2 linked regions of the Xenopus tropicalis genome follow. The protein of the gene in region 1 purifies or fractionates together with the protein of each later gene. This does not show direct contact. Links are inferred from orthologs where the notes say so. Each region holds a gene or a part of one and is shown on either strand. Other genes may lie near its edges. The genes, in order: tnks2 and rnf146.

What was found.
Region 2: the proteins of tnks2 (region 1) and rnf146 purify together in Homo sapiens (co-immunoprecipitation; 3 studies listed by BioGRID and IntAct, with this or other methods). This does not show direct contact. The link is inferred for Xenopus tropicalis from reciprocal best matches to the Homo sapiens genes TNKS2 and RNF146.

The regions. Positions count from the first base shown.
Region 1 is NC_030683.2:37,227,555-37,231,375, forward strand, and holds part of tnks2 (tankyrase-2), read left to right. Parts: intron 1-1,506; coding exon 1,507-1,628; intron 1,629-2,938; coding exon 2,939-3,030; intron 3,031-3,121; coding exon 3,122-3,200; intron 3,201-3,821. UniProt on the Homo sapiens protein: Poly-ADP-ribosyltransferase involved in various processes such as Wnt signaling pathway, telomere length and vesicle trafficking.
Region 2 is NC_030681.2:67,900,111-67,904,501, reverse strand, and holds the start of rnf146 (E3 ubiquitin-protein ligase rnf146), read right to left. Parts: upstream 3,099-4,391; 5' UTR 3,023-3,098; intron 1,352-3,022; 5' UTR 1,351-1,351; coding exon 400-1,350; 3' UTR 1-399. UniProt on the Homo sapiens protein: E3 ubiquitin-protein ligase that specifically binds poly-ADP-ribosylated (PARsylated) proteins and mediates their ubiquitination and subsequent degradation. May regulate many important biological processes, such as cell survival and DNA damage response.

The sequences.
Region 1 (3,821 bases):
TTGTCATTGGACAAACTTACAAAATCAGTGAGGGGTCAAATAATTATTTCCTCCACTGTATAGTAAACAATGATTTGTTCAGTTTTAATACATTGATGCTGCGTGGTTATATGACAGCCCTTTCTTATAATTCTAAGAAGGCTCCTAGCATTTCCTCAGAGCACCTGGACAGTTAATGTTAAGTCATTCACGGCCTAAGATGTTGAAATCCACTTTAAGATTAGGGCCCTATTTTGCAGTGCCCAAGTGTGAACAAGGTAGCTTGTGTAGGCACCTCACAGGAGAGGAGGTTGCACAATTAGATTGGGGTAGGGCATGTCCTGGAAACCTAGAACTTTTAAAGGAGAAGGAAAGGCTAAGTCACTTGGGGCTGCCAAAATGTTAGGCACCCCCAAGTGACTTCGAGCACTTACCTTGTACCCTGGGCTGGTGCCCCTGTTAGGAGAAAACAGCAGCAGCCCAGGGTACCTGTAGCGAGCGCTTCCTCCTTCCTCTCTCTTCTGCCGGCGAAATCTGTGGGCCGGCGCATGCGCAGTAGAGTGAAAAGCCGACTTTCTTGTTTAAGTTCGGCTTTTCACTCTACTGCGTATGCGCGCGCAAGCGAATAGGAAGTAGGAAGCGCTCGCTGCTACCCCGGGCTGGTGCTGTTCTCTTCGTACAGGGGCACCAGCCCGGGGTAAAAGGTAGGCGATCTAAGTCACTTGGGGGTGCCTAACATTTTGGCACCCCCAAGTGACTTAGCCTTTCCTTCTCCTTTAACTTCTGGTGCTACATTCAGCCACAGGTTTTCCCAGAAGGAAATGGCATTCATTTCAGCTATTTTTAAGGTGATTACTTTGCAGTGTTTAGACAGGCATTGGTCATCTGTTTCATTTTAAGTGTTAAGGATGCCCATTCAAAAATATCTGTTAGCCTGAATGGTTGGTATGAAGGATATAGATTTTTTTCTGCTTTCAAATGATCTATCTAATGCTGTTTCTGAAAGATGAAATCAAAACCAATTTATCATGTTCCGGTGCAGCTTTTTTTTTTTTCCTCATAATTCCAATGTAATTGCTAGTGCAAGGTTGTCAAGTGATATAACTAAAGGGAGTGCAGTTGAAAATTTTCAGTATTCCATTGATGTCACTATGCATAAAAATTACATCTGCACCCAATTTTGTAGACATTGGCTACCAGCAGCATTGGGCATTGGCGACTTCAGGGTTTCCTACAGTGGACTAGTTAGATTATTTAAAATACGTCAAGAGACCTTTGCAATTAACATAATCAGTTTTGCACATTGCTGGTTTAGTTTTCTGATGACACAAATGAGTTATGTATAGTATCTATGCAGCGATATAGATATATCACAAAATGCTGTATGTTCTATAGGCTTGATAACCTAATAAAAATTGTCACCTAAAAGAATAAGTAGATATTTACATTTGTTTTACCTTTATGTATCAAATTGTTTTTATAATTAATACAAATCAATTACATTTTTATATTTCTTTTTTTATTCAGATGAATTCAAAGGCCATTCATTGCTTCAAGCTGCCAGGGAAGCAGATCTAACACGTGTTAAAAAACATCTCTCCTTAGAGATTGTGAATTTCAAGCATCCTCAGACTCATGACACTGCTTTGGTAAGAAACCAAACCCAGTTGCATTGGTTTCTATGTAAATGTCATGTGCTTATATACTATGTATAATTGGGCACGTGTATGCAAGTTTATTTGGTTTTATAACTGTGTAAAAATCTTTGCCCATTTTTTTATCTCTTGCTTTGATAAGGACAGGATATCTGTGGCTGATGGAGGGGTAGAGTGTCTTCTGGACCCCAAAATATCTGTCTACCTACTGAACACACACAAATATCTCATTTGAATCTGAATCTCATTTGAAGTGGTTGCATGCTTTAAGTGTGTTAGACCTGTTATGAAGAATTGGCATCGTATATAAACTGATTTTACTCTTTGTACATGACGGATTTCTTGTTGCTACATTTTCTTATCGTGCATTGGCTGTGACTCTTTAATTTCTTCTACGACCAGAATGCTAGTTTGGCAAAACCTAGTGGCACATGCTAGGTTTCCTGTCCTTGTCTGGTTGCATTCTTGCTTACTTATATGTTGTTTTTACCTCATTGAGGTTGCCTTTATCTGGCTTCTTTAATTCTATTAACAGTAGCAGGACATGTTGTAGGGTAAATCCAAAGAGTAGGAGTCCTTAATATTGGTGTCCATTGCTCTAAAATGCACCCATCCTCTGTTTGAGCAGAAATATTACCAGGGCCCAAGCTATCCTGTTGAACTAGCAGAACAGCTTTTCAGCAATAATTTTTTTCCCTCTTCTTACAAATATGCATAGGTCATGTGTCTGCCCTTTCTTCCCAGCTTTGCAATACTCCAGGGAAAATGTCTGTCTTCAGTGTTCTCATGAAAATGAATTATCGCTAAAATTCTTAAACTGTTTTAAAGCTTTGTAGATGCCATATTGTAAGCATTTTTATATTCCTACTAATATATTTATGTTCTTTGATTAGTTAGGCATATACATTCCAAATTAACACTCATGTATAATAAAGGTTGAAGAAACATGAACGTTTTGAAAGGCAGACATATTGGCCAAGTGCATTTGCCCATAGCAACCAGTCATTGTTTAGTTTTAAACAACCTACTACTAGCTAGGAAATGAAGATGATGGTCCTATTGGTTGCTATGGACAACTCCCCTGGTGCAGAGTAGCACCAGTCTTATTAAATCAGCCCTCTTTTCTTTCAGTGTACCCCTAAAAGTTTGTAATGGTTTAGACGTCTCATAACCATACCAAAAAAAATGATGCTGCATATATTGTTTGAGTGCTGATGTTTAGAATGTTATAGATTTTTTTTTTCTTATACATGAAAATGTCGGTCATCAATAGATTTTACAATGTATTTATTTTCGTTTTCCAGCATTGTGCTGCTTCATCACCCTATCCAAAGAGGAAGCAAGTGTGTGAACTTCTCTTTAGAAAAGGAGCAAATGTTAGTGAGAAGACCAAAGAGTAAGTTTATATTCTCTTTTTTAAAATCTTTCTTAAGGATCTCAAAATTGTTATTTTATTATTATTCATTTATTTCTTTTTTTCTCTAAAGCTTTTTGACGCCTCTCCATGTTGCTTCAGACAAAGCTCATAATGATATTGTGGAGGTGCTGATTAAACACGAAGCCAAGGTATAATTTTTCTCGTATTTGATGCTCCTTTTTAAGTTCTTACATTCCTGTGTGAATTGTTAAGTCACTGTAAAGACTATATTACTTTTATTTCCACATCTTTTGGAGTGAAGCTTTGCTATTTTTAGCTTAGATGAGAATGTTCTGAAATATTTCCTTGTTTAGATTCCTGTGTTCCCATGCATATGTAAAATGCCATAAATTCATTTGTAAGAAAACTACAGCAAGTCAGCATGAAGATATTTAGCCATTTTAGCCATTTTCATCGCATTGCAGGGAAACTATTGAATAATAGTATTTTTCGAACCATGTATTTTTTAAAATTGACACTTCTTTCTGTTTACCAGCCAAAATTATCAGCACTGTTGAAAATTGAGTTATGTGCCATTATTGGTGTTTTGTCTTGAGTGGGGGTGTTTCTGAATCCCCATTTAGCCTTCATTCTCCCTAAGGGATTTAATTTATTTCTTCAATATTTTCAGTGTTCTAAAACAGACAAAATGTTTTCTTCAGTCCCAATGTGAATGCTTGCAAGTGAGGTTGATGCTGCCCATGGTCACTTGGTCAAATAAAAAAAAAAAAAAAAAAAAAAAGTGTTTGTTTATACTTTCTAAATATAAA
Region 2 (4,391 bases), on another chromosome or scaffold:
CCAAGTCATACACTGTTCTCAGGAGACCCCCAAAACATTTTTATGTATTACACATAGGGTACCTTTTGGTTTAGCACCACAAAGTAAAATGTCAATGTATGCCATTCCCATTTAGCAAACAGCTATTAGGCCACAGCCTCTTTTTCCCCATTAATTATAATTATATATAAACAGGTCTTTCGGCCAAAGAGCAAGATACTTCATGTTAATGGTAAAAATAATTTTTTTAAACAAATATTCTAAGTCTGAGCTCAAGTCTAAAACATACTAAGGAAATAACAAGGATGACATTGCTCTTCTTTCTCTGGCTGACTGCTTTAGACTTCTGTGACTGTGCACTGTCCATCAGGTCTTTTAGACCTTACACTGGTACTTTGTGCCTATGCAGGTGGGGTACAATCAGGGATTACCAAATGGGAGCCTATTACTTTGTGGCACAAGAAGTGAATTATGTTGTAATGTAGGACTTCCATGGTCATTACTGTCACTTGGCTCTGATTCTTCCAGCAAAGCACTGGGGGCTGGCATTCTAGCGTTAATTAGAGGCTGTCCTTCTTCACCTTCACCTATATTATTCCTGCCTATCACAGGATCGCCAATCTGAAGCTGAGCAAAGGAGTTCTCCAATGAAGAAGTAACATCAGAATGTGAAAGGGCATGACTTGCAGTTGTACTGAGGGATGTGTGCAGCCTTGTTGGTAACACAGGTGTAGGTTGACTTGAAGAAGCTCCAAGTGCTGCCATGTTGTCCGCACCATCTGCTGAGCTCTCTCGCGCTAGATTTACATTTGCTGCATCACATTCAAGCCTTAGCCCAGCAACTCCTTTTTTTGGTATATCTACAATATCTCTCTTGATTTTTCTACGCCGTCCATGCTCATTACGCCTGTATTGAACCATGTTCTCCAAGTCTGCTACATAGAGGAAGCCAGCTATCAACATCTCTGTGCTCTTTTTGCCTTTTGTGAAGGCATCTTCAAGCTCTCTGCTTGTCCGCTCATCATACTGCCACCAACCATTTCTTCCCTCATAATACCATGCATATTCTCCATTTCCCCTACTTGCAGATTTCAGTTCCTCAGGTGACAGTAATGTAGGCTTATCAAGAAAGTCCTCAGGAATCTCTTGTCTGCACAAAGCACAACGCCTTCCAAGCCAAGAAGCCCCCTTCACACACAAGTAGCAGAATATGTGTTTACAAGGTAGACTAACTGGATGCACACAGGTCTGCAGGCATATAGCACATTCAGGAACAGACAATGAAGGAGCACTGTTGGGACAAGGCTCAACCAGTTTCTTATTAGTGGGCAGCATGTTAGCAGAGTGGCTAACTTCACCACAACCAGCCATCCTGTTGGTAAAAAAATTAAAAGGTTTTATGAGGTTGATTAGAGAAACTGAAAACCAGTCTATGATAAACAATTGAATTGTTCCAGTTTAAAAACGGATGAACAGAAGAAAAACTGGCAGCATAGGTGTTATTATTGTTTACAGATCTTTATTTCAGTTCCATTTCTCAGGTGCTATATCCAGATGAGAAATAGAACCTCGATTTTATGTTTTCCTGGAATTGATACCATTTTTTCCATGTTAAACCATTTGCGCCACTTTGACAGTCCCTTGGAAGACATAAAGTTAGAGTTCTATTGTTATTGAACAGGAGAAAAAGTTCAGCAGGGCTTTTCAGAAGCCAGCCAGCCACCCACTGGAAATTTATATACTTAGGATATTTTATGGAATCTCTCTCAGAAACAGCTGCAATACACCCCAAAGTAACTGCTGTGCCCTGAAACTTAAATTCCTTAAACTAGCAGTAGATCATAGTAGATGAATGGGAACTCAAAAAGCATCTTTTCAAGTTAGCCTTTTTGGGGGAGCTTTATTAAAGTATTTTAATTGAATGAAAAAAAAAAATGTGATTTGTGTGTGTGTTTGGTAGAGGTGAGGGGGGTTAAAGGAATACTGTCATGAGAAAACATGTTTTTTTCAAAACGCATCAGTTAACGGGGTTTCTCCAGCAGAATCCTGCATTGAAATCACTTTTTCAAAAAAAGATTTTTTTATATTTAATTTTGAAATTTCACATGGTTCTATCCATATTCTTCATTTCCCAGGGTGCTACAGCAATGTGACCTGTGCTCTGATAAACTTCAGTCACACTTTACTGCTGAGCTGCAAGCTGGAGTGATATCACCCCCCCCCCCAGCAGCCGATCAGCAGAACAATGGGAAGGCAGCAAGATAGCAGCTGCCAGTATATATCAGAATAGCACTCAATAGTAAGAAATCTACGTCCGGCTTGGGACTCCTCCAGTTACATGGGAGTAGGTTATCTGAAAGCAGTTCTAATGTGTAGCACTGGGTCTTTCTGAAAGCTCAGAATCAGGCACAATGCACTAAGATGGCTGCCTATACACCAATATTACAACTAAAAAAAGATACATTTGTTGGTTCAAGAATACAATTTTAAATGGTGAATTGAATTATATTTTATGTAAACAGTGTAATTTGGTAATAAAAAGTACAACATAAAATTCATGACAGTATCCCTTTAACTAGATGCAGATGAGACATGATTATTTGGAACACAATTTAATACAGTATAGAATGTTTCTTCTTGACATGAAGCCCATGTTCAATTTTCCGTATTGCAAAAAGTCAAGGTTTAATACAGTATATACTCTATAAAGTAATAAAAAGAAGAGAGCATTTGAGCTGTATAAAGCAGCTGTGGTTTCGCCCCTCTCTTTAGCACTATATGGGGAAAATGATACGTTCACTTGTTTAATTGAAATATTTAAGAAGCTCAGTGTCTTAAGATCGCTCTAAAGGCTCACCCCTTTTGGAAAGCGCTGTACATACAATAAAACATGCATTTTTTATGAGGCCTTAGGTATTTGTGCCAGACACCCTACAGTGAAGAAATGCAAGCTTCTGAGAAATCACAATACACTCGGCCTAAATTCAATGGGAATGAGAACTTCGAATAAATAATTTAGAAGTAAAAGCGCAACCTGACATACCGCCCAACAGTCCCGCTTCTCGCGGGACGCTCTCGATATTTTTAACACAGCCCGCAGAACCAGATTGCCGTTTAATCGTCCAACAACGCCATTAATATCCAGCTCCTTGGCTCCTGCCGGAAAGCTAATCCCGACGTCAAAATTGTCATCTCGCGAGACTGTGGCGTCACTACCACACGTATATAAGCGCAGTGACGCGGCACGTAGAGGGGTGACAACTTACTTCCTTGTTTCACAATTATAAGGCGCTAGTAATACAAGGAAGCGTGTTTGCAAACGTTTGCTTCACAGCTAGTAGTTTTCGCAGTTATAGAAAGAAAGAGTCATTTCGTGGTGGTAGCCTACTATGCATGCTGCCTATATTTAGGCACAACTAAGTATTTGTTTTTTCTTATTAGAACTTACACTTGTGTCAGTGAACAAACCCTATTTGCTGGGTTGACAAATGATTTTATTCTTTTCACGGCTTCTGTTTTATTTTTTAGGTGGATATTGTGTTGCAAAGTCTTTGTTTTACCTAAAACGGTTTTTTTTGGCTCTGCTTTAATGAACCTGGTAACAAAGAAAAATAATTTCTTATCAAACATGCTGCCATCAGTGCCTCTTCAATTTGACTAGCAATGAAAGGGTCTTTTTTTTTTTTTTTTTTTTAAACTAGGGCCAGGTGAAGGTCCCAATGTTTTGTTTTTTTTTTGTTTAGTTTTTTTTTAAGTAAGGGCAACAATTACAATTTAGGGACAAAACTGGTTATTTAGGAGAAGACATTGGGTGAAATAGAGCAGCAGTAATCTTTACGTTTTAGGCTCATTTGTTCACGGTGGTGTCAGTTTTCCAGGTTTTATTTTTTCGTAAACTAATGCAAGACTTTTCACAAGTTTTTAGGCTTTTTTTTTTTTTTTACATAAGAGGATCCTGTGGCCATTTTTTGAATTGCCAACAGTAATCTTTAGTTTATATTTTTACAATTTAGTGACAACAGTGACATTCAGAAGACTTAAAATATCCTAAAGTAATCTTTTACTCTGGTCCTAACTCCAAAGTGCACAGGTTCTACAGTGGCTTGCAAAAGTATTCGGCCCCCTTGAACATTTCCACATTTTGTCACATTACAGCCACAAACATGAATCAGTTTTATTGGAATTCCACGTGAAAGACCAATACAAAGTGGTGTACACGTGAGAAGTGGAACGAAAATCATACATGATTCCAAACATTTTTTACAAATAAATAAGTGCAAAGTGGGGTGTGCGTAATTATTCAGCCCCCTTTGGTCTGAGTGCAGTCAGTTGCCCATAGACATTGCCTGATGAGTGCTAATGACTAAATAGAGTGCACCTGTGTGTAATCTAATGTCAGTACAAATACAGCT